Linked DNA regions of Arabidopsis thaliana. The protein of the gene in region 1 purifies or fractionates together with the protein of each later gene. This does not show direct contact. Each region holds a gene or a part of one and is shown on either strand. Other genes may lie near its edges.

What was found. The genes of interacting proteins can lie anywhere in the genome.
Region 2: the proteins of SHM2 (region 1) and AT1G24360 fractionate together in Arabidopsis thaliana (co-fractionation; one large-scale study listed by BioGRID). This does not show direct contact.
Region 3: the proteins of SHM2 (region 1) and CRB fractionate together in Arabidopsis thaliana (co-fractionation; one large-scale study listed by BioGRID). This does not show direct contact.

Annotation. Positions count from the first base shown.
Region 1 is NC_003076.8:9,416,538-9,422,756, forward strand, and holds SHM2 (serine hydroxymethyltransferase 2), read left to right. Parts: upstream 1-1,657; 5' UTR 1,658-1,761; coding exon 1,762-1,848; intron 1,849-1,927; coding exon 1,928-1,978; intron 1,979-2,066; coding exon 2,067-2,153; intron 2,154-2,244; coding exon 2,245-2,366; intron 2,367-2,446; coding exon 2,447-2,523; intron 2,524-2,616; coding exon 2,617-2,741; intron 2,742-2,857; coding exon 2,858-2,950; intron 2,951-3,122; coding exon 3,123-3,215; intron 3,216-3,296; coding exon 3,297-3,494; intron 3,495-3,584; coding exon 3,585-3,689; intron 3,690-3,843; coding exon 3,844-3,909; intron 3,910-3,991; coding exon 3,992-4,117; intron 4,118-4,445; coding exon 4,446-4,557; intron 4,558-4,844; coding exon 4,845-4,955; intron 4,956-5,039; coding exon 5,040-5,188; 3' UTR 5,189-5,236; exon of another isoform or gene 5,237-5,324; 3' UTR 5,325-5,614; downstream 5,615-6,219. UniProt on the Arabidopsis thaliana protein: Functions outside the photorespiratory pathway in catalyzing the interconversion of serine and glycine with the conversion of tetrahydrofolate (THF) into 5,10-methylene-THF.
Region 2 is NC_003070.9:8,638,798-8,644,022, forward strand, and holds AT1G24360 (NAD(P)-binding Rossmann-fold superfamily protein), read left to right. Parts: upstream 1-1,784; 5' UTR 1,785-2,022; coding exon 2,023-2,185; intron 2,186-2,271; coding exon 2,272-2,414; intron 2,415-2,653; coding exon 2,654-2,707; intron 2,708-3,147; coding exon 3,148-3,228; intron 3,229-3,308; coding exon 3,309-3,354; intron 3,355-3,422; coding exon 3,423-3,517; intron 3,518-3,592; coding exon 3,593-3,625; intron 3,626-3,828; coding exon 3,829-3,963; intron 3,964-4,059; coding exon 4,060-4,153; intron 4,154-4,279; coding exon 4,280-4,362; intron 4,363-4,453; coding exon 4,454-4,486; 3' UTR 4,487-4,706; downstream 4,707-5,225. Other genes in the region: EMB2421 (FAD/NAD(P)-binding oxidoreductase family protein), read left to right, coding at 1-69; AT1G24350 (Acid phosphatase/vanadium-dependent haloperoxidase-related protein), read right to left, coding at 301-375, 572-625, 709-801, 940-990, 1,077-1,233, 1,386-1,516.
Region 3 is NC_003070.9:3,013,236-3,018,857, reverse strand, and holds CRB (chloroplast RNA binding protein), read right to left. Parts: upstream 3,622-5,622; 5' UTR 3,386-3,621; coding exon of another isoform or gene 3,284-3,385; 5' UTR 3,053-3,283; coding exon 2,948-3,052; intron 2,824-2,947; coding exon 2,689-2,823; intron 2,611-2,688; coding exon 2,524-2,610; intron 2,401-2,523; coding exon 2,310-2,400; intron 2,199-2,309; coding exon 2,144-2,198; intron 2,043-2,143; coding exon 1,982-2,042; intron 1,814-1,981; coding exon 1,592-1,813; intron 1,451-1,591; coding exon 1,334-1,450; intron 1,182-1,333; coding exon 1,092-1,181; intron 1,000-1,091; coding exon 823-999; 3' UTR 520-822; downstream 1-519. Other genes in the region: AT1G09330 (golgi apparatus membrane protein-like protein ECHIDNA protein), read left to right, coding at 3,955-3,972, 4,278-4,340, 4,430-4,633, 4,755-4,814, 5,486-5,612. UniProt on the Arabidopsis thaliana protein: Binds and cleaves RNA, particularly in stem-loops. Associates with pre-ribosomal particles in chloroplasts, and participates in chloroplast ribosomal RNA metabolism, probably during the final steps of 23S rRNA maturation.

The sequences.
Region 1 (6,219 bases):
GGGTAGAGGTGAATGTAGGCTGGATATTGCGAGATGAAGAAGGTTACTACAATGAAGCTTCCCACAACAAAGCTCAGACGTGCAGTACAATTCTAGAAGCTGAATTACAAGCATTACTCATGGCGATGCAACACATGTGGATAAAAGGGCACCGGAAAATAATATTTGAAAGCGATAACAGTCAAATCCCAAAACTTCTCAAAAGTGAAATAAACAACTTCGGTCTTCATAATCTTATACAGGAAATAAGAGTATGGCAACAGAAGTACACGAGCGTGAAGATACAATGGACTGCGAGATCAAGCAATAAGGCAACGGATTGTCTAGCGAGAACTCGGAGACCCAATGATCTTTCATTTGTCAATTACTTCCATGTACCAAACTTTCTTGTAGACATCCTTCACGAGGATTACACTTCATCTATCTAATAAAAGAAGTTGCTGTTAAAAAAAAAAAGTTAGAGATAGGTAAAGTGAATTTCATATTTTTTGGATAGTATTTTTGAATTGCTTCATTTTCGAGATTAACAAGCTTCTTCTTTTTTTAACAACCCCAGAGTTTCATCAACTTTCAAGCAACAGAAACACATGATTAAAAAATTAATAACATCAAATAAAGCATATTTTAAAAATTAAACTTTTCATCATATAGATTCTTAGAATGTGATTGTGGAGCCACGTTGGATCTCCAGGGTTAGATATAAATGAAACTGTCTATGCCGTGTGACAGCCCTTGCAACTATTCAATTCAAAGTTGACCATACATGAAACTATTTCAAGCAAACGACGCCCAACATCAAGTATTCAAGTTGTTGATATTGTCTAAAAGATTCACCATATATAAAAGCCAACTTCATGGAATCGAAATTGTAGCGGTACAACAGTTACTAGATCACCACTTTATGACAAGCACACTCTTGACATATTAATCAAACTTGGCCAAGATGATCCCGAGCTAACCACACACCACCCACACATCTAATATTTGACTGTTCATGCCACACTTATATTGACCTTGAGAAAAATGAAGAGTATATCGACTCGGTTAACAAAACTTCAACAAGACAATTTCTTATAAAAAAATAATCATAGACTGATAAATTTCTCAAAACACTTTTCAATTTAAACAATTTCATAATATGTGTATGTTGACATTTCTAATACATGAATAGATTGATGCTCATTGAACTTTATTGAAATGTAAAGAAGAGATAAATGTGAAAGATTTTATGTTGTCTTCAAGAACAAAATAAGTTTCAATTATGTTTTATAAAATGTTGAATGTGGCTGTTCAAAAAAGTAGCCTTGATTACATTAATCAAAGTCTTACACAATATAACATAAGCTTACACGGACTTCTCTAATGAATAATGATTATAACTTGGGTTTAGGATCCTCTTTTCCACCTAGAGGCTTTTATATTGTTCTACAATTTAATTTTTTTTAAAAAAAAAAAAAACAGGAGCAAAATAAGATAGTGTGTATGTAACATAATTTATTGTTGTTGTAAGACATTACAAATAAAAAAAATATGATTGCATTGAAGAAAACAATATCAAATGACAAATACATAGAAACAAAATAATAATTAAGTAAGGCACCGAGAGTAGAAATTAAAAAAAGCTTATAAAACAAAGGAATCTCGGTCACCTCTCACCAACTCCAATGCTCACTTATACAGAAGCTGAGAAGCAGAACCGCTTTTATATAATCGCACTCACTCAGAGAAACAGAGAAGACGATAGATAGAGAAAAAAAAAAAATGGCGTTGGCTCTTCGTAGACTCTCCTCTTCCGTTAAGAAACCGATCTCGCTTCTCTCCTCTAATGGCGGTTCACTCCGTTTCATGGTAAAATCCTATCACAGTCAGATTCATTCACGTTTTATCCTTCGTTTGATTCTGATCCGTTTTTGACTCTTATACACAGTCGTCTTTATCAACCGCAGCTATGGCGGAATCGGAGAAATCTCGTTCTAGTGTAAGCTCATCAATTAGATCAGATGCGTCATAATATATAATCTAACGAATGGCTTATTTCGATTTAAACTTTTCTGTTTCTTTATCAGTGGATTAAGCAATTGAATGCATCTCTAGATGAAATCGATCCTGAAGTTGCGGATATTATCGAATTAGAGAAGGCTAGACAATGGAAGGTATCAACAAAATTTAGTGAGAATGATCAAATTCACATATATAGAAGCTTTGATTTATTGATTTGGGGGATGATGTTACGAGTTTTTTCAGGGATTTGAACTTATACCGTCAGAGAATTTCACTTCTCTATCTGTGATGCAAGCCGTTGGTTCTGTTATGACTAATAAGTATAGTGAAGGATACCCTGGAGCTAGATACTATGGAGGAAATGAGTATGTATTTGTTATACTTACAATGGTTTACTTTGTTGTTAGTATATGATGCTTAAGGTTGTTTGCATCTTATTGACTAGGTACATTGACATGGCTGAGACATTATGTCAAAAACGCGCATTAGAAGCTTTTCAGTTAGATCCTTCTAAATGGGGAGGTGTGCTAATTACATACTTTCGTTGTGAATTGTGATTAAAGAAATCCTACTAGAAACCAAATTTACTAATGGAGACACTTGTTCATTTTGTAGTCAATGTGCAGTCTTTATCAGGATCACCAGCTAATTTCCAAGTTTACACTGCATTGTTGAAGCCTCATGAAAGAATCATGGCACTTGATTTACCTCATGGTGGACATCTTTCTCATGGTTATCAGGTACTTGGGTTCTAGTCTCTCTAGCTTGGTCAGTCAGTATTTGACTTTCTTTTCTCATCTCTTTGTGGAATTGATATTGTATCTTTTCCTCATTTCTTTTATTTGCTCTTGTGCAGACTGACACGAAGAAAATATCGGCTGTATCCATCTTTTTTGAGACAATGCCATACAGATTGGATGAGAACACTGGTTACATTGATTATGACCAGGTTGGTTAGTTCATAGCCAGCTTAGCTTAATGCTTCAACATTCTATCTTTATCCAATATACCATTGAGATATGGGTTTAATACATACAAGCTTTTCGTTTACGGTTCTTATGTTAAGTAATTGAACAGTTTTTAAACCAAAGTTTATTTATTTGTGATACAATAATTTGCAGCTAGAAAAGAGTGCCGTGCTTTTCAGACCGAAACTTATTGTTGCGGGTGCAAGTGCTTATGCTCGTCTATATGACTATGCACGTATTCGTAAGGTAAAGTATTGTCTCAACTCTTGAGTGTGAAGTTTAGTTACAAAAGTTGCAGTTTTCAAGGTTATGCATAAAAAATTGCAGGTCTGTAACAAGCAAAAGGCAGTTATGTTGGCTGATATGGCTCATATTAGTGGGTTGGTTGCTGCTGGCGTTATTCCTTCTCCTTTTGAGTATGCAGATGTTGTTACGACTACAACTCACAAATCGCTTCGCGGTCCTAGAGGGGCTATGATATTCTTTAGGAAGGGGTTAAAAGAGATTAACAAACAAGGGAAAGAGGTGAATTTTTCGTTTCTATATTGTATATGAATGAGTAAATAACTTCCAGTTACTGACTAATTTTATGTCGTTTGTAACTTTACCTGATAGGTCATGTATGACTATGAGGACAGAATTAATCAAGCTGTTTTTCCTGGACTGCAAGGTGGTCCACATAATCACACTATAACGGGTCTAGCAGTTGCTCTGAAGCAGGTTCAGTCATCAAACTTTTATTGAAACTGTGTTCCATTGTCTAATGTGTTCGCATGATCTCCTTTCACTTTCTGATTAAGGTCTACTCTAGGATTCTCTTGGTCTTGTAACTCTTGTTCATGATCTTTTGACTTATCGATTTGTTCTATTATAGGCAAGAACTCCTGAGTACAAGGCCTACCAGGATCAAGTTCTCCGTAATTGCTCAAAGTTTGCTGAGGTGCGTTGTGTTTGCTGATTGTCGTATTTTTACTTGAGTAATTAGTTGATATGCCTTAGATATCTTGTCATGTTTGGAACAGTTGGATATAAGACCTACTGTAATCATCTCATATGGCTTGTCAATGCAGACTTTGCTTGCGAAAGGATATGATTTAGTGTCTGGAGGCACTGATAATCATTTAGTTTTGGTGAATCTGAAAAACAAGGTACTTCTCATTCTATCTTTAATTGCTCAAACCCTTTGATATCTAGATGGAAATGTTTGCTTTAAATGTACGAGTTTGCATATGAAAGGACTGAATCTCATCGGTATTAGAGAATCTTAACTCTTGAAATATGATAAAACTAAAAACAATGATGATTTTTTTCCCATATATGTTGTGTGGTTTCAATTTTTACTAACGACATACTGACCAGATGGAGCTAATCAAGTGTAAAATGTTTAATTTTTGTACTGTTAACCTTAGTAGGAAGTGCTTAGAATAGCTAATTTACTCTTGTAAAATATTTGATGTTGGAAAATGGGTTTTGCAGGGAATAGATGGATCAAGAGTGGAAAAAGTATTAGAATTAGTACATATTGCAGCAAACAAGAATACTGTTCCTGGTGATGTTTCTGCCATGGTTCCCGGTGGCATCCGTATGGGTAAGGCTCTTATAAAAACTCTGAAAGAAGTAATGTGTTAGTATGTCGAAAGAGTAGTAAACATTCATACGTCTGCTATTTACCACCATTAATGTTATTTTTGAACAAAAAAGAACACTGAAACAAGTAAAGTGTTAGTATGTCGAAAAGTGCTAAATGTTCATGCTTCTTGCAATCTACTACTTATGAAAAAGGACTTCTATGCTAATTCATAGAGACCTGTTGATCACCAAGAAAATCGTGTATGTTCCGATTTGTTCTTATGATGGATGATGGTATGGTTACAGGAACACCAGCCCTCACATCAAGAGGATTCATTGAGGAAGATTTTGCAAAAGTGGCGGAGTATTTTGATTTAGCCGTCAAGATAGCCTTAAAGATCAAAGCAGAGTCTCAAGGTATATATAAAAAGTCTTTTGGTTCGGTTTACTTTTTCTGTGTCATGCTTGGGATTGTATTGATGTATCTATAATGTACTGCAGGAACAAAGTTGAAAGACTTTGTAGCAACAATGCAATCAAATGAGAAATTACAGTCAGAGATGTCAAAGCTCCGTGAGATGGTAGAAGAATATGCTAAGCAATTCCCAACGATTGGGTTCGAGAAAGAGACGATGAGATACAAAGAGTAGTTTTCATCGTGTGGATTGACACGTTTCCACATCTCTGAGATGCTTTAGGTACCTAAAACACTTAATTATACATAAGCTTCTTCTATGAAATATTTTGGAGGGACTCATTATGGGGCGATTGTGCAACCGTTTGCAGTGATCATGGACCAGAGGCGCAACCGATGGTCTGAAGTATCGCTGAAACTAAAGTTGAACTAAAAAAATCGCACTCCAATGTTGTCTCTTACCCTTTCCTTTTGTCTCTCAAATTTTATCTTTGCTTCCTTAAGTTGGTTCCTCAAAATTCAAAATTTGTAATGCAACTGGTTTAAGGTTGCTATGATGGATAATGGCAACTAAAGTTATAGGATAAACGATGCAGCTTTGATAATTGATATTGTAAACAGAAGTGTTTCTGAAATAAGATGTCTCGTGCTTTTTCACATAAACAATGCTACTTTGTAATTAAGCATGCTTCAAGAATGGCCTAAATGTGAAATTTGAGGTACAATAAAGAAAAAAACTGTCCAAAGTTCAATAAAACAAATTAGAGGTTTTTGTTGTCGTTTTTTGAAAAGATTGAGGTTTGTTTTACAGTTTTTCGAGGTTAAACTCGCATTTGTATTGTTCTCATTAAAAAACGACTATTAATATTATTTTATTTTAAAAAAAATTTAACTTGCTTTAAAATACTTCAACAAAAAAAAAACATATGTTTTTTTTAGAGCTAACCAACCTCAAGTTTGATTTTTTCATTCTGTTGCGAATAGAGACATACAGTTCAACTGTGAATAGAGTACGGTGCGGTTCAAATAAGAACAAAAATATATACATACACATATATGTAGAGATTTTAGTTACTATTGAAACCGCAACGCATTGTTTGGTTCACCGCACCGGACTGCGGAATTTGTGATTTGTTCGGAAAAAATTACGGCTTGTCGTTTTTTCAAATGATTGAGGTTTGGTGTACAATATTTTTATTCAAGGTTAATCTTGCTTTTCTTTTTGTAATTTGGTGATTTCTTTGCATTTTTTGTCAATAATTTTTT
Region 2 (5,225 bases), on another chromosome or scaffold:
TCTGGTATTACTTTGGATCCTACTCTGCACATGAGAGATGTCTTCACCATCATACTAGGGAAACAATGATGAACATCACAATTTTATTCCACAAATTCCTTTGTATACTACTTATTTTCAAATAAAATCACGTTATTTTTGTAATGGTGTTTCACGATTTCTTTACATATGGTAATGGTAATGTTAAACAAGAATAAATATATTTTTAACTCGGATTCGGTTGTAAATCTGTTTTGGTACTCTCCAGTGGCTTCAATAGGCAATGAAGCAGAAGAGTTGTGTCTATGCATGTTCTTGACGTTAGCTTGTAGCTATCCTGAAAAATAAGTATCCGGTGACTGCTGTAGCACTTCCAAGCATTCCACCAGCAACGACCTGAATTCTCAGCAAATGGAAAACAGAATCTGATGAGAACTAGAAATTCATTGATATCAACACGGTTACAAATCAAAGAGTAGTTCATTTATCAACCAAAGTAAACACAAACTAGGGTCTGTTCTAGAGTTCCATCAGCTCACACAAGCCTCCAAAAGACCCTCAACTCTGTTCCCAATTACACGATCCCCCTCACCGATTCCTTCAGCACTCTATTTGTACTCATGATTTCCCCTAACTCTGTAACTATCTTGCTAAATGTAACAGCTAAAAGAATCTCATATCTTGCTAGTCATATATGAAAAGACTTTTTCAAGTCATATGTCTACATACCTGGGGAGGGGTATGACCAAGAAGTTCCCGCAAAGGTCTGCTTTCAGCCAGCGGATGTTCTGCAGGAAGTTCATATACAATCTGATTGAGAACCTGAAAAATGAATCAGACCCCAGAGATCAGGATACCAGAGCTCAAATGCATCATGACAAAACCAATAGTGGTTCTTTTATCAAACCAGTCAAGTTAGAAGATGAAACAAAGGAAAGGTTAGAGCAGCAATGAACAAACCTCAGCTTGACGACCAGCATGTAATCTAACACCGGTAGCATCATACATCACCTACCAACCCAAACCACTCACATATTAATCGTCACTTGATTCCTTAATAGCCAATTTGATTAAACTAGAGAAAGTATCCAACTTACAACAGATGCCAAAATCAAAGCAATGGCAAAATGTGATCCACCAAAGCCTTCTTGTAAACCAATAGCTACAGCGAGAGCTGTAACGGTCGCTGAATGCGAAGAAGGCATTCCTCCAGACCCAATAAGCTGTTTGAGATCCCATCTCCGTTCCCTATACCTACAGAATCTAGGAAACCATGTAAAGATCCTTTCTCATCTAACGTATACTATAATTTCCTATGTACCGTTTCGAACCAAAGATTGAGGAACCAGGCACATATAGATTTAATCGGAGTCTGATCCAAACAGAGATATAAAGAGAGAACGTACCAGGAGGTGAAGAGTTTGATGAATTGAGCGATAGTGAAAGAGGTGACGGCGGAAATGAGAGGATAATTCGTGAAAATGGAGAAATAATGAGTGGAAGACGAAGACGTAGCCGTGGCTGTAGAATCCTCCATGGCCGATGATGGATCTAGTCAGGCTTTAAATCGTGCTAGCGAAAGAAGAAGAAGAAAATGACACCGAAACGACAATGATCCATAAAACGTCGACTAATTCCCTTTCAAACTCCAATGGCGTCTACGTCTACCGTTCAATCCTCTTTGTCTTTCTTTTTTTTTCTTTGACCAATTTTTTTTTTAAACACTGCTCCACAAAACTATATATTATACAATTACCCGCATCCGAACAAATATGAACCGTATCCGATACAAAACCCGAATACCTAGGTCAGTTCTATTCGTGAAATCGAGTCTCCTCTTATTCGACGACCTGCCCCAACTATAAACATGACTTTTACACACTTGACATAACTTCGTTTGTATCGCTTTTTTGAAATTCTATATATTATTATTGTTTGAGCAGAAACTAAGACAAAATTAAGACTTTTCTCTCTTCTTCTTCTCCACTGGGTCGATCTTTACGAGGTTCACTTGTACGGATTCACTTTAACAACAGATTCGCCATGGCCGCCGCCGTCGCAGCACCGAGACTCATCTCCTTGAAAGCCGTCGCGAAGCTAGGTTTCCGTGAGATCTCTCAAATCCGACAATTGGCTCCGCTTCACTCTGCGATACCTCATTTCGGAATGCTGCGATGTAGATCGCGGCAGCCGTTTTCTACCTCTGGTATATTCATTCCTCTTCTCTCTTCCTTTGCGGTTTTGGCATAGATTTGATCTCTCTCAATTCTCAACATTTTTGTGGTATTACAGTTGTGAAAGCTCAAGCTACTGCTACTGAGCAATCACCAGGGGAAGTTGTTCAAAAAGTGGAATCTCCAGTGGTCGTTATCACTGGTGCCTCGAGAGGGATTGGTAAAGCAATTGCTCTAGCCTTGGGTAAAGCTGGCTGCAAGGTTAGGCTTAACACTATTCGGAATATTGGAGCGCCTTGTTGTTAGATTTGATCTGTATATGTACTCTTCGAGCATTCAATTTGCATGATATTACTAGTCTTGAGTTATGAAGATTTTAACACAGGATTGCTTTCAATTTCTTTTGTCATTATAGTGATGGAGACATCAATAGGTTTATATCCGTAATTGCTACACATAAATTTTCTGATCTGGAAGCAAACACTCTGTTTCTGTTGCAGGTCTTGGTGAATTATGCTAGGTCAGCAAAAGAGGCTGAAGAAGTTGCTAAACAGGTGATTCATTGCCCTGGATTAGACTGCAATTTACATGATTCATGCACCAAGTATCTAGAATGGTTTTCAGCTCTTTCCTTCTTTTTCTGCTTCGGGATATCGGTTTAGACCAAATAATGCATAGGTGTTTGGTATGGAAGGATGTTGTTGTTGGTACGAAAATAAATGTGGTACCTTTCGAGTTTAACGTTGATAATACCTTTAAACAGTTTTGGTTTCTGGGACAAGAAATGTAGACAAATGAATTTTCTGGACCTGGAAAATGTTTCTTATTGCCCTATGCTTCTCAAATGCGTTTTGTGATTTTGCTCTTGATCCACACTGCCAAATGAAATATTATCTTTTGGCTAACAAATGTCATCTGCAGTTAATAGTGTTTTCGTTTACAATGTCAACTTATTTCATGTAATCTCTGACATTTCTTCTCTGTGCAACTGTAGATTGAAGAATATGGTGGCCAGGCTATCACTTTTGGGGGTGATGTCTCGAAAGCGACTGATGTGGATGCGATGATGAAAACCGTGAGTGATCAACTGTACACCATCTTATATTCCCTAATCCTTATACATCTTTTCATTTTCCTTTTGTTATTTTTCTGCAGGCTCTTGACAAATGGGGAACCATTGATGTTGTGGTTAACAATGCAGGTAAATGAAAACCTTGGTTCCCATTAAGTTTTACTTAGTACCTTACTGACGTGGCTACATATTTTCAGGAATTACTCGGGATACCTTGTTAATACGAATGAAGCAATCACAATGGGACGAAGTGATTGCTTTGAATCTCACTGGTGTATTTCTCTGTACTCAGGTTTGTATTCCTGCAATACTGCTAAAATTTTGATACTCGGATTTTCAGGGACTGATACTCGTTTACTCTCTTTAGGCAGCAGTAAAGATCATGATGAAGAAAAAAAGGGTAACACTTTTTACTTGTCATATGCCATGTCACCGTCTATATCCTCACACGTTTGTCATTGGTTTTGACATGTTACTCCTTCCCTGAAGCATAGGGAGAAATGATATATAAAAAGACAACTACGTTTTTTTTTTTTTGAGCTCTTCTATAAGATTAAGAAGTGATATTATGACAAGCATAATTCATGGTATACTTAATTGCAGGGAAGAATCATCAATATCTCGTCAGTTGTTGGTCTCATTGGTAATATTGGTCAAGCAAACTACGCAGCGGCTAAAGGTGGAGTTATTTCGTTTTCCAAGACTGCTGCCAGAGAAGGTGCGAGCAGGAATATAAATGTATGTGACCTATCTCCCTCATCATATTCGTCTTTTTTTTAAACTTCCTGGACATGATTGTGAAACTTGTTCCGTCTACAATTTGCTCTATTCCAGGTCAATGTGGTTTGCCCCGGATTCATTGCATCTGACATGACTGCAGAGCTTGGAGAAGACATGGAAAAGAAAATCCTGGGAACAATCCCATTAGGTAATGGACATTTCATCTCTTACATTTGTTGCTGGGTAATTTATATGGATAGGATGTATCTGAGACATGAAAAAATTGTTAGATAAAAAAGAATTCTGATACAAAGCAAAACGGTTTGGTTTTCAGGACGGTATGGAAAAGCTGAAGAAGTGGCTGGCTTGGTAGAATTCTTGGCTCTCAGTCCTGCAGCCAGTTACATAACCGGACAGGTTAATATCTCATACTCCTGTCGAATGGTGGTTAACCTTGGTTTCTAATTATGTTAGCGACCTAACCATGGTTGAAAATATTGGTTTGCAGGCATTCACCATTGATGGAGGTATTGCTATCTAGACATTTGGTATGAGTCGGCTTTTGTTTAGTTAAAACAATTTGGTAAAAGAGACAAAGTTGAGTTCTTTTTAGCACTTGGTCGGATTGCTATTTTGCGGTTTCTGTTAAGAAATATGTAACACTTACTGCTTAAACTACGTATTTGGTCACTTTCAGAAACTAGAAATCGATTAATCCAATCTCGCATTCTAAATTTTTTTAGTTATTGATGAAAAGGAAACTAGAACATCTCACTATCCTTACCCTATGTTAAACTATTCAAGCACAAACAAAATTCAAACGCAACTTAGAGTCAAAAAGTAAAATAAAACATTACAGACGCACCAAATAACTTATTGGTTTGATTTGTACGATCTAATCCGCATATGAATGCGGATATTGCCTAGTGACAAGCCAACCCCACTGTATTTCTATGCCTTAAACAGCCTAGGACTAGGAAACAGCTGCCGTTTGAGACATAGGCAAAGCAAAAGTGGGTCACTCTTTTGGCAATCTTAGAGTCTTGCCCACAAGACTGAAGCATCCCCGCTGCTCATCGAAGGCTCTTCTGACTATAGCTACGCGATCAACATCCTTACCAACTCGAGCCTCGCACGAGTCCTTGTACTGTATGTAGACAATTGCAAAATATGTGCGGTTGAATACCAAATCCACATCTTGGGGAGTAGTATCTATAGCCACTTGGATAATCTTCAAGTTGGACAGGTCATCAAGATCCCTAATGGTGCCCCTATTAGTG
Region 3 (5,622 bases), on another chromosome or scaffold:
AGAATTTTGTAAGATTCTTCTATCCACAAGATTAAGACTTGCAGTGAGAACTAAATGATCCAACAAGAGTCGAGAGAAAAAAAACATAAAACAAAATTCCGGAGAATGACTCATTTACATTTAGATAACCAATAGAGTAATAGAATTTACATTTCTTTTCTTTTATTTTCAATTAATCACTAATACAAGTTTCAGACGTTTAAAAAATCAACTAATCATTTTTTTCACTAAAAATAGGCCAAAAGATAAGTAAATTACAACCAATGAAATATGTCTCTATAAACTATTAATATTTGATGAAAAAAAAAAAAAAAAACTAATAATATTCACAAGTTGGACTTTTCAATTACGAGTTGGGCTTCTAAATTTAAATATTGGAGCCCAAATGAGTTTTTATTTGACCGGTATGTAGCGGGCATAACCAAGCACGGGTCAAATCTGTATTTAGTCGTGCGAATTCGATTTTTTGGTTCGGTTCGATCGGTTAATGGGCTATATGATACAAAGGGGCCCGCATTTAAAACTAAAGTTTAATTAGCTCGGTAGTCGGTATGGTTGTAATTTTGGTTCGGTTCAGATTTAGAAAGAGGATATCGAATTGATACCAAAATTCCTAAGTTCCTAAGTCAAGAGCCAGACCGTCTCTTTCTCGTGTACTTACTTTCTCGGTTTCTTCATCGTCCCTAGCTTGACTTCTTTAGAGAAAAGTCGAACAAAATCCGGACCATAACATACGTGAGATGACAATAAAGTTCAGAACTTTAAGAGAACCGGGTGATCAGAATCATACAAGCCAAGAATGAGCAACTCTTAGGATTTCGATTATTGAAGAACAAGTTTCTTGCTCAGAATCATGTCGTCAGTGGTGAAATCCGCTTCTTTCCGGAATGTTCCGCGACCGAAATCAAGGTTGTATGAGTCAGTGAGACCCTCCACTAAGTCGAACTCCGGTTTCCATCCGAGGACATGCTTTGCTTTCTCCACCGATGCAAAGAAATGCTGCAAGAGAATATACATATATCAAAATCTCAACTTCTAAATTGGAATCGTTCATGTTGCAGCCTCGATCATTAGAACGTTGTGGTTTTTACCTGATCACGGAAAGGGAATGCCTTCTTCTTCCCAAAGTCGAACTCTTTCGGGTTGTAATGAACAATCTCTGGCTCCGGAAACCCACCGGCCTGAGAGAGAGTTGAAAACATGAATAAGTTTACTCAAGCAATGATCCAAAAAGCTCAGAGTATGATATCTATTACAAACGGACCACACCAGGATGTACTTGAAACGATTTGGATTGATGAGACAACAATAAAGCCAATAGAAAAGAATGTACCTTTGCGCAAGCTTTTGCTAACCCATCAAAGGTAACATATTTCTCCCCCGAGATGTTGAATATCTCTCTGCTGGCTTTCTCGTTACCAAGCACGTTGAGAAAGGCTGTTGCCAAGTCCTGAAATTACAGAATGATTTGATGTTATTGATCAATACTCTTCAAGATTGATCAGAGCTGAGTTTCAGTCAGTGGGTCCCTATAACAATGAGTTTTCTGAACATGAAAGGAAGCTCAAGAATTAGAGAAAGTGTGACTGACCTTAACGTGACCGAGTTGTGAGATCTGTATCCCAGAGTTTGGAACCGGGATTGGGCGACCTGCCTTTAGACGGTGGAAAAACCATTCTTCGACGGGGTTGTAATTCAATGGACCGTAGATGTAGACAGGACGTATAGAAGTCCAGTTTACACCTTTTGATTGCAGTAAGCTCTCAGTCTCCAGCTTCCCCTTGTGCCTGCTCTTCGGATCAACTGCATCCTCCTGCATCAGTTATGTCCCAAATAAAAAGTTATTACAAATGGCCTTAGATAATAAACTTCTGGGTGACATCATATGATCAAATTACATAATCATACTATTCTATGGCTAATTCAAGAAAAGTACAAGCTCATATCTTCCAGGAATAAGAATAAGATATCTTTTACATACCTCACAATGTGGCAAGATATCAGATTTCAGATAAACACCAGCTGAAGAACAGTAGATGTACCTATAACATTAACGGAAGATTTAAATTTTGAAGGGCTATGTTTTGAAAGCTATAAACCAAATGAACAAGCTAGGCCTTGATAGATGTTATGTATTACTTACTGCTCTAGTTTGGGTAGTGCTTCTAGTATGGGCTCAACTTCTTCGGCCTCCCTCCCTGAGAAAAAAAGAGAGCATAAATTATACGAAATCTTAAAATCTTTGTTGTCAAAGGCAAAAGACTAGATATTCTTGAATTTACAGTAAGAACAAAGTGATTAGCTGTTACCGTTGATATCATAAACAACATCGAAGCCTTCTGCTGAAAGACTTGACTTCACAAAGTCATAGTCCTTTCTGTCTCCTTTCAAGTGAAGAATCTAGAAAAGGCCGAGAAAAATCATTTATTTTATTGGAATCCTAATCATCCAAGTTCCTATCATCTGAAATGTATATTATATTTGAGTGTGCATACTAGTTTTTTACAAGGATTCATGTAATACCTTAGAAGAGAAATCAGCAAAGTCTTGGTCAGATTCACCGGGCAATTGTTTGGCAATAGGAGATTTACCCCTTGTGAACAATGTAACCTGCAAAAGCAACCATTGGTCACTCAGAAACGGAAACTAAATTTTTAGCTGAAAAGAGAGTTTGATCGGTAGTGGAACCTGATGTCCCTCTTTGACAAGGATCCTGGACAAGAACAGACCAATGAATCGAGTACCACCCATTATCAGAATCTTCTTTTCGCTCGACGCTGAAACATAGAGTGCTCCTTTTGGCTGATGAACCTTCCTCTTGTACTGCAATTTTAACAACAAAGCCAACTCTATAAGAAAAATCTTATCCCCAAAATACAAACTGTAGTTTCAATTCTAAGACTAGTGATAGAATCTGAAGGCAGAGCGTCACAGAAACAAATCATACTTGACACAAATGAGGGGGGTATTCAGACAACTCAAACCAGAGCCAAACCACAAACCAGAAACTCTCACAATTATGACGAAGAAGCTCATAAAACTCTTTACTCATAATACAAAATCAGAGCTGAAACAAGAACCACACTAAGACTTTAGACACACATTCATTAATATAGACACAATGATCCATAGCTCAAGAAGTCGAACAAACAAGCTTAAACCCATTTTAAAAGGAATAGTTTTGAAATGTGCTGAACGGATTTTGGCTCATCAGACACACAAAAGCAGAACCCATCTGATAAAATTGATAATGATAGTCGTCAGAACGAAGGATGAAAAAGACCTGGACTTGTAAATGGAGCTTAGCGCCATTGAAGTCAGACAGAGAAGAAGTAAGGAGAGAGAAAGAAGGCTGATGCTGTTGCAACATCATCATCTTCGCCATGGTTGATTGGTTAAGTCTCTGAGCAACAACTGAAGAAAAGCTCTTATTTGAAATTGAAGTGTGTATGGTGGTTCGTGGGACCTCGTCATCTTGTTCCTTCCGATCATTAAAAGTCTTAAATTTTGAAGGGATAAGACAATTATCTCAGCCTCTCGCCATTTCATGGTCACATATTTACAGCCATTGTCGTCCTCTTCTTTCTTAACTCTTCTTTTGCCTTGTTGTGGATAGTGGATAATTTTGATCGAAACACAAGTTTTTGTGGTGAAATCGTAATTACCATTTTTTTTGAATAATTGGGCCTAACTTCTTTAAATATTATTGGGCCAGAGAAGAGTTATCGGGCTCGTTGAGAATTAAAAAACACATTTGAAAGAAATTATCAAAAATAGAAGAAATCACGTAGCAGACACGCGCAAGAGTTTTGAAGATCTGATACAGAAATTTTTTCTCGGGAAAATTCAGAGGGAAGATCGATACTTTCCACAACGGAGAAGGTGTTTCGTTTCTGCTGATCAGCAGATTACTTCTTCTTTTTCTCGGATTGATCCTTTTGGATTCTTCGAAAGATGGACCCTAATAATCAGGTGAATTTTCAGCTGCTTCCTCTCATTTTGTTCTGACTTAATTTCTGAGTTCGATTGCATATCAGATTCTTGATTAACCTGTATCTAGTTGTTCGATCTAGATGTTATTGTGTCAGATCTGTGTTTCGACGTTTTGGTCTCCGATAATCCGTAGAAATTATGCATTTGAGCTAAATAAACATTGCTAGGTTAGAGGATGTGTTGGCGGATAATAATCTTTATGTACTCTTTTGGGTAGCATCGTAATGGTTATTACAATGTAAAATTGCTACAGCTAATCTTACCAAAACTTTATGCTTTCTTAGATACAGGCACCAGTTGAAAATTATGCAAACCCAAGGACATGTCTTTTCCATGTTCTCTTCAAGGTATGATTTAGAGTATAAATCAGTTTAGTCAAAGGAAATGTTAGACATTGGACAAATGTTAAACCAGTTTGTATTTGTTCTTGGACCAGGGTGCTGCGTTGGCGTTTTACATTCTCTCTGCTCTCTTCTTCAACAGCTTTGTCATCATCTTTGTAGTCACTGTTCTTCTTGCTGCTCTTGACTTCTGGGTGGTTAAGAATGTCAGTGGGCGTATACTGGTTGGTCTCAGGTGGTGGAACGAGATCAATGACTTGGGAGAAAGTGTCTGGAAATTCGAGTCTCTTGATCAGGAGGTTAGCTTTTCTTCACTTATTCACAAGGATATGGGTTCAGCCTGTCGAGAAATGTGGGGTTGTGTTTCCCTTTCCGTTTTTTTTTTGTATACTCATGTGTTTTCATCATTTTTCTATACAGTCTTTGGCTCGGATGAACAAGAAAGACTCATGGCTTTTCTGGTGGACACTTTACCTTGCAGTAAGTATTTCATATCTAACACTTCAGTTGCAGCATAAGCTAATTACTTAAAACCCATTCACAATCATTGTGGAACTTTAGTGGATGACTAGGAATAAGAATAGGCAAGGATAAACATGTCCCTTATAGTGGAATAAGAATAGGCAAGAATAAACATGTCCCTTATATTGAAGCATATTGTGCAAAGGTGGTAGATAAGAATTGAGAGCAGTCTTTTAGAATCCCATGTAGACCCATATATAGATCGCTAGACACCTGAATATCTTCCCCCAAGAAGCTACCAGTTAAAGAAGTTTGCGACAAATGGTTTTTCCCTCTGCATGAGTGGGATATAGCATTTGACATTGGAGTCAAATCACATGCGAAGTCACATTACAATATATGTTGAGTAGGGAAAGATTATCTGCTGGAACCAAGTCGGCCATTTGGAGTATATCCTATGATCTTACACTGACTAAGTATAATATTAGTTAAAACTTGGTAGCTTACAAACTTATATGCTCAGTTACCTTACAAGCGACTATAAAGAGTGAGATGTAGCCATGAGATGGTAGCTATGGATTTGATGTCTATGGTACTGGAGCGTAGTAAACATTAAAAACATGTGGATTTGTTTGCTGTCTTTTTCTGTTGTCTTCACAGCTAAATCTTCTCCTTTTTTCACTCTTCAGGCAGCTGCATGGTTTATCCTTGGGGTATTTTCTCTGATTAGATTTCAAGCTGACTATCTGCTTGTTGTTGGCGTTTGCTTGTCCCTCAATGTGGCTAATATCATCGGCTTCACAAAGTGCAAGAAAGGTAAGATCCT